2 linked regions of the Oreochromis niloticus genome follow. The protein of the gene in region 1 interacts with the protein of each later gene in a pairwise test. Links are inferred from orthologs where the notes say so. Each region holds a gene or a part of one and is shown in the gene's direction. Other genes may lie near its edges. The genes, in order: dlc1 and rasa1a.

Region 1 (3,921 bases):
TGCATCATGTGACATGCAACAGCAGAGTCTTGTTGTACTTGGATGGCTTGCCCTTGAGTTCGACCATCTGTGTCCCCGGAGAGTCAACATTTATGGTAGTGCACAGTTTCCCAGTGCAGCCCCTAAGAAAAGACTCATCCAAAGCTTCGACTCACATCTGGATGACCCAGAGGTTAGAGGCTGGGGTTAGAGAGATAGTTGGAAGGGGCTTCATTCCAGTTTTCTCTTGTGCTTGGACTGTCCCTGTTGGTATGCAGCTGACCCAACTACGCCCCCCGCCCAGAAAAAAACCCCAACACAAAAACACTCATTATAAATCTGATCATGGCTGGATTTTTAGTGAAATTAGGAGATTACTTACATTTTGAGGTTTTCAATTGGTCCAGGCTTTCCAAATGAAATATTCAGCACCTACTTCCACTATGGGTTTAAAAACAAATTATGTCAGTTGGTCTTTGTGATATAAAGCGCAGTCATTGCCAGCTTTGCCCTTCCTTTCTGCAAAGTGTTTCACAGAGAAATTACTATATTAGGAAATGAATTGCTGGTATTTTGGTCCTAAATAATTTTTTTTCTTCCCACTTAATCTCCTTGAAAAGAAAATTGTCAGGTTCATAGCACTTTTAAAGCCGTCTCCATTATTATAAATGCTGAAATATGATTTACCATTTTAGTGTATTTTTAAACACCTCCCCCAACCAGATTAACTATAAAGATATCTTGCCTTGTATTTTTTTCATGAGTGCCAGTATTTTTATCTAAGAGTACTTGTAGTTACAAGATGACAAATTTGCTGCAGATATAACTGCCAAAACATTAGAGCAATCTCAGTTGGCTCGCAGCCCGAAGTCTTACGAAGCAGCCTGTCTGTTACTAATCAAAGCCAACTCCTCCTGCCCAGCTTGGTGAAATAGGGAGCTAAAGAAGAATGAAGAAAATGTCTCCTGAAAAGAGAAGCAATATTTCTGAAATAGCGAGTAGCGAGTGTACAGTAGAGGAGGGTGGAGTGTATGGTGTGCTTAGAGAGTTGTGAGACGGGGGATGGGGCTTCTAAGATGTGACTCAGACTCACTGTCAAAACCAGCGGGGAGGGGACCTGATGAGAAAAAAGGATAGAGCGGAGGAGAGAAGGGAGGGCCGGGGGAAAAGAAAACCCAGCCCTCTTACACCACCTCGACTCTTGAGCGTTCAGCGTCAGCAAAAACCATAATGTGATCAAGATGGAAGTTGTCCATGGACTTTTCACTGCTTCCCGGCTTTCTGCCTTCCTCTGGGGGCTTCAGTGCCTGTCCAACAGTTTTACAGCGAAGATACTGACTCGAGTCTAGAAAATGGCTCGTAGAAGCTTAAAGTAAGGACTTCTTGCTTGGAAAGAGTGAATTTAAATTTCCCAAACGTGGACAGATTTCATTTGATGGATGAATGAAAAGTCAGCTTGAGAAACATCTCTTGACAAACTGCATTTCAGGAACTAATTGATCTGCAATCTTCGGGTTGGATTACATATTCCACTTCTGGATTTCCACAAAAGCTTTTAGATTATGTTGCTAAACAATGTGTCATCACTGGAGTATTTATGAGAAGTAAACATCAGTGTTCCTCCACTGTAGAATGTGGAGTTCGGCTGTCAGCTGTTCGTTGGAGTGCAAGTAAGAGGAGCGACTGCTTTTTGGACCTTTCCCTTACTTTACATATAACCAAATCAGGTACATGTTTGTGCCAAAGGGTGCAAATGGCAGTTAGAACCATCATCCTTATGTCTTAAAATGAAATTTTGGGAAAAGAAACTCTTCAAGCAGGTCTTCCATTTTTAAAATACTTTCAATACACTTAACAAAGTCTGATTCTTTGTCACAGACTACTTAAGACGGCTATTCTATGTTGTTTTGAATTGTGTTATTTACGTAGTACAGAATGGTTCTCTTTAATCAAAAGCTTTTATTTGTCTGTCTCGACACATAGCAGATTTATGGAGTAGTGTAAATCTTGCATGATTTACACTATTTCTTCACATCTATACATTGAAATCAGCCACAAAAGGAAGAAAAAACACAGAGCAGTGTAATGCAGTACATGTTAGTTTGAATTCTGTGATAAGACCTGCACTTGGTTCTGTGATAGTGTTGGATTCTGTTCCAGTTTTACTTCAATCTACTTCAGTCTCTTATTTTTGAAGGTGAATGGGTGCAGAAAGACTGTTAACCAACACCCAGCACTTTTTCAGAAAGTTTTTTTTCACTGTTAAAATGGTGCAAATCTGACAAACGGCTTTGTTTACAGTTTCCTGTTTGTGATAAGATAAACAATCGGAGGGATGTCTACATTAATCTCAACGATTTAAGCTTTCTCAGTCTTAAAAAATTAAACAATTGTTAGAGATCAGAGTAGTTTACTTGTAGTTGCCAAGCTGAAATATGGAAAAACTCTGCTTCAAAAGAAATTGGTTTCCTGGGTTAAATTAATACACTTTGGTTGCTTACTTGAAAGTTGAAGCGTTATTTGTACGTTCAGCTCCTGCAAAGTGAAAACTTTGCAACACTGCCTCTTTCTTATCTCCTTTTCTCCTGTTGTTGTACCAGATCTGGTCCTTCTATTTAACCTGGCATCAAAAGCAGCTTTATGGGATAGCACTGGCTGCCCATTATGCCGGTAGCCATACGTAAAAGAAGCTGGGAGGAGCATGTGACTCACCCATCAGGATTACAGTACAGCTACGATGATCTGGATCTCGTCTGCTGTCATGGGGTCGAAGGCGATGGGCTATGGATGGGTTCTGCGGGTTCGAAACAAGGTAGACGGGCGAGGTGTTCCTCTATGCCAGAGGGATGCCACCAGCTGCCTATAGATGACCTTGCTCAGACTTGTGAAGGGGGAGCTTCTGCGATGAATGACGATACTGAACTGGAACACTTAAAACTAATGGAAAACAATGGAAAGGATTTGCAGGAGTCAGTGGATCGGTCTTATGAGTTGGTGGGTGCTGGCATACTCCCAAAAACTGACTCTGACTCACAGGATCTCCAAACCACAAACCCTGGGAATTTTGGAGAGTTTTGTAATTCAAACAGTGGTATGTCTAGTGCAAATATTTCTTGTGCAACTCGTAGCAGTGATAAGACTGATAATAAAAGTGATTTGGGGACAGAAAGTTGCCAGAATCACAGCATGTGCGATGTCAGTGTCTTAAAAAGTGCACATATCTCTCACCAACAATACGTCTCTATCTCTCCCAACAATGTGCCTCCATTGTCCGAATGTGCTGGTGAGCAACCTGGCAAAGTTCCAAACCATCAGGATACAAAGGAGAGCCATACAGAGGGTTACAGCAGACCTCCTGAAATCAGTGGGGTCACAGTAAACTGGTGCTCTGCCGGCGAACAGGAACCTCAAACCGACCTCCCAGATGTTGAGGACAGCAACACTGTCACCTCTGACCAGCCTGGTATGAATGCTCTGCAAAGCTCAGCAAATATGGAGGGTGGTGAAGCACTGTCGCTAATCAACAAAACTGTGGAATCATTAGTAGCAGATGGAGAATGTGGCAAAGGAATATCTGAGAGCCGGAGTGCATGTTCTGCTGACAAGCAAGATGGATTGAGTGACCTAGAAACTCTAAATGAAAATACAGGACTGAGCTGTCTCTCAAGAGTCACTATAGGAGAAGAGCGGGGCCATGAAGACTGTGCTGGACCATTGGATAAGGATCATGGTTGGGAAATATCCAACCAGACATTGTTGGAGCAGCACAATGTTGAAATGTTAGCGGAGAGCAGGCCCCAGGGAGAGAAAAATGCACAAGCAGAAAGCAGCGAGAAAACAGGACCCGTCAGGCCTATTAAATCATCTGATGTTGGTGTCATAAATCAGTGCTGCTCTTTAATGGCAGACAGCAACGTGTCATCTAAACAAATTAATTCTGGA
Region 2 (3,921 bases), on another chromosome or scaffold:
TTTTTAATTACTCTTTTCTGTTTATTGTACAGAGCCGCTTATCTGATAACTAGTGAAACTTGTTCAGTGTTGCTGACGTGTTAAAAAACAGCAGATCAAAGGTGTAAACATTTCCTGCCACAGTATAGTAGTTCAGCAAGAGATTATTTGCAGAAAAATATCTAGAGGACTGATTTTACTCTGCTACTTGTCTTGTTTTCTGCGGCCACTGAGACCCTCTGACCCCTCTGGTAAGAAAAAACAAACCATTATGAGATTCTATATTTTATTTACGTAACAAGGACAATATCACATTTTATTCAACTTAATAAGATTTAACGTGATTGAAGATGCCATGGATTAAATTTGGGGGAAAAAAAGTTCCGCTCTGTGTTCACTTAGCTGTGTCTGATCTTTAACTGGAGAGGAGTGGGAGAGGGACAGTGTTGCCAACTTAGCGACTTTGTCGCTATATTTAGCGAGTTTTCAGACCCCCTAGCGACTTTTTTTCTATAAAAAGTCGCTAAAAAAAGACGTGAAAGCGCTTATCGCTTTTACTCTCAACAAGCAGCGGGTGCTGTAACACAGTCAGTTCTTCTTTTAATCTTTTACTCTTATGCTGTTTTGTGGATCACAAGGTTTAAAACTACTTATAAACACACACACACAAAGTAACTCCACCAGAGTGCCAATTTCGGGTCACTTTTGCCAGTCCAAGCCCGGGTAAAGGAGCAGGGTTGGAATTGTGACATTAAAAAAACAATAATTGCTAAAAGAAATTTAATTTGTAGTTCTAAATAAACTCTAAATGCATTTAAGACGTTTTTTACTCACTTTATGTCTCTTCCATGGTGTTATTTCTCTCTCCAACAACATAGGTTACAATTATATTAGCGTGACCAATTATGCAAATTAGGTGATGACGTCATTTAGCGACTTCTAGCGACTTTTAGGACAGCCAATAGCGATTTTCCTTACTGAGGAGTTGGCAACACTGGAGAGGGAGGGGAGACAAGAGCAGCGCAGCAGCGGGCAAGCCACCAGCCCCGAAACCCAGAAATAAAGCTTGTACGCAGATAATAAATGTTGGTAAACGACATGGCAGTACGCGGAGAACAACATGCCGCTCCGGGGATATAGGCGATAAGGCTGAAGTCGTCTGGGAACGCTACTGGAGACGGTTTAAAACTGAAGAAAACAACACTGGGAAAAAAGAAGGGGATTACACACAACAGTGACAATAAAACAACACTCATCGACAAGTGGTCTGCTTTGGTGCCGAGGGTGAAGTCCGAACATCCCCCCAGTCTCAAAAATACCAACAGGAAATATAGGTGAAGTGATATTCTGTTGGAAGTATTGTAACGGTTAATCTCAAGTAGTGTTTCTGCGTGAACTCTAAACTCAGGAAACAATGAAGACATAGCGAGCAAGAACTCATCAAGTGTCTCGAAGCTGCTAGCTGTCCCGCTAGCGTTAGCTCGGTGATTTTTGCAGGGAGCGAATGCGAGGCGAAGCTAACGCCCGCTAGTGCAGCCAAGTAAGCTAAGTTAGCTGTTGGCTAACATTAGCCGGCTACCTGAACGCGTTTTTGAGAAACTTTTGGTGTTGTTTCCCAGGAGCCCAAACACCGAGGGATTATTGTGAAAACAGAGGGGAAGGGCAGGTTCCCTTCTGGACTTTCTCCCCTCTACGTATTTTTCTACTATGATGGCAGCGGAGGTCAGCAGTGAGGATACGGGCTCGGTCGCGACAGGGACAGGGGTGGCAGGCGGAGGAGGCCCGGAGACGGCGGCCCCTTTCCCATACTATCCCAAGCCGAGCAGAGTCCGAACCACTGATTTGGGGCAAGTGCCGGCACCAGCCACCCGACAGCATTCAAACACATCTCCGGACTCCCTTTCAGAGATTAATATGATCTATTCCTCCATGCCTAGTGGGGATATGACCGGAGCAGGGAGTGGCGTAGCAGGAGGTGGATATTCAGTTTTTCAAGGAACAAGCTCAGGGACAGTGGGCGGCATGTGCTGCTCTCCAACTATGGAGGGTCCAGCTAGTCGGATCTCACCCACATCAACAGGCCCGGATGGGCCCACTGTCTTCCCACCACTTCCACCACCACCTCCTCCGCCTCCTAGCTGTGGGGGGCTCGGTGGCACTATGGATGAAAGCGACATGCAAGATGGGATGGAAATCGACGAAGAAGAGGTGACGTTCCCACTCTCTGCACCTCCCACTAACCAGTAAGTAAACCACAAGTTAAGTGACGTCTATGACTGCTAGAAAATAGAAACACTTAAGCAATTTATTTATTGTATTGCGTTTTCATAGCCTTCCTGTTTTGCACTTGAGGTATATTTGGTAGATGTGGCTTTGAAATAATGCCAGTTTCCCAAGATACATTACCTAAAATACATCTGTTGTGCGTTTGCACACCTGTTATTCTAGAAAGCACTGAAATAACTGAGATCAAATTGAATTGACAGGAGATTCAATATGAAATAGAAACCCTAGCAACACAGTAGTAATGCCTGTTCATTATTTTTACAGAGAGCTGATTCACTTATAGTAAATGCCCTTATAAACATTCTCACAATGGACTACTACATATCAATAATTGACTTGGACAGCTGTTGTCAGCATAGCCTCATTTCACAGGATCACCCAAGCAGAACAAGTATTATGTATATACACAGTAAACACAGTAATCAACACTGAGTAATACAGTGTAACAGTAACAAAATTGCTGTCAAAAACATGTGGGACAACTGGTAGTGCGGGCGCTTTTGTTCACGTTCATGCTGTTGTTGGTCCTTCAGCTTTGCCCATTCTGCAGAGAAGTCATGGTATACAAAGAACTTCTTTGTGATGCAGTGAAACTGAGCGATTAAGAACATTCAAAATTGTCCACTGCAGCAGTTGTCCAGGCTTATTTGAGCTTTGTTGTTGTTTTTAGATTTCTTTCAAGTGAACTCGGTAGGTTTTTCGTTTCCTGTTCCATGTAATCTTTCAGCTTAACATTCAGCCTCTATGTAGTGTGATTAACTCTGGGCACTGTTCCATTTTTTTGTAGTTTTTATGTTTTTGGAAGAAGATGAGAAATCATTAAGTTTGGATAAAGTCAGTATATACATATCGAGACACTTTCTTTGAATAGTTCTTTCAGAATTGAAGACACTTCTCAGATAAGAGGTGAAATGTCTTTAAGAAACTTAAAGAACTCCAGTTGCTTTTTAATCCAAGCTCCTTAGCCTCTCTTTCTTTTTCTGTTGTATCAAAAACCTAAATCAACAATTGTATGGAGACCAACTTCATTCCAGGTGCCGTTGGTGACAATTGTGACAATTTGAACTCAGGGGATGCACAAATACTTCCAAAGCAACTTTTTTTCTTTGATTAAACATAGCGTTTTTCTTGTTTTAGGCTTAAGTTTTAGGCTGGCAAGAACCCTTGGCACTATTGGCCCAGATACATTAAAATCAATGCCTGTGCATTTGACACAAAGCTATACACTTTACTATAAATAGTAGATAACAGAAAAGTGCATAGTTCTCTGTAATGCTACATGGGAAGTAGAAAATCTTGTTTCTGCTTTGCTGCACAACTGTCTACTTACAACCAATTTACAATGCTCTGAGAGAATGGTCATCGTGTCTAAATATTTTGCCTGTGATTGAAGTGAACTAAAACTTAAAACAAAGCATTTGCAAACCTTTTTTCTTTTCTTGTCTGTAGCACAGTAAATTCCGCCTAAGCACTGTACTTTAGAAAGCATCTGACTAATTGTGGGTACTGTCATGACTTTATCAGGCATGCACAGAAACCCATGTTCAAACCTGCGTGTGCGCTGCTGATGTTGTAATAACCTAAATATAGGCCTTCCATTTATTATAGTCTCATTAGAAAACTGCTGAGCTTTGTCATTTCTAGCCCTCATACTGT

Evidence for each region.
Region 2: the proteins of dlc1 (region 1) and rasa1a interact in binary tests that used the Homo sapiens proteins (3 or more experiments, as listed by UniProt). The link is inferred for Oreochromis niloticus from reciprocal best matches to the Homo sapiens genes DLC1 and RASA1.

Annotation. Positions count from the first base shown.
Region 1 is NC_031971.2:21,092,489-21,096,409, forward strand, and holds the start of dlc1 (rho GTPase-activating protein 7), read left to right. Parts: upstream 1-1,215; 5' UTR 1,216-1,649; intron 1,650-2,579; 5' UTR 2,580-2,643; coding exon 2,644-3,921. UniProt on the Homo sapiens protein: Functions as a GTPase-activating protein for the small GTPases RHOA, RHOB, RHOC and CDC42, terminating their downstream signaling.
Region 2 is NC_031977.2:16,144,472-16,148,392, reverse strand, and holds the start of rasa1a (ras GTPase-activating protein 1), read left to right. Parts: upstream 1-981; 5' UTR 982-1,686; coding exon 1,687-2,222; intron 2,223-3,921. UniProt on the Homo sapiens protein: Inhibitory regulator of the Ras-cyclic AMP pathway. Stimulates the GTPase of normal but not oncogenic Ras p21; this stimulation may be further increased in the presence of NCK1.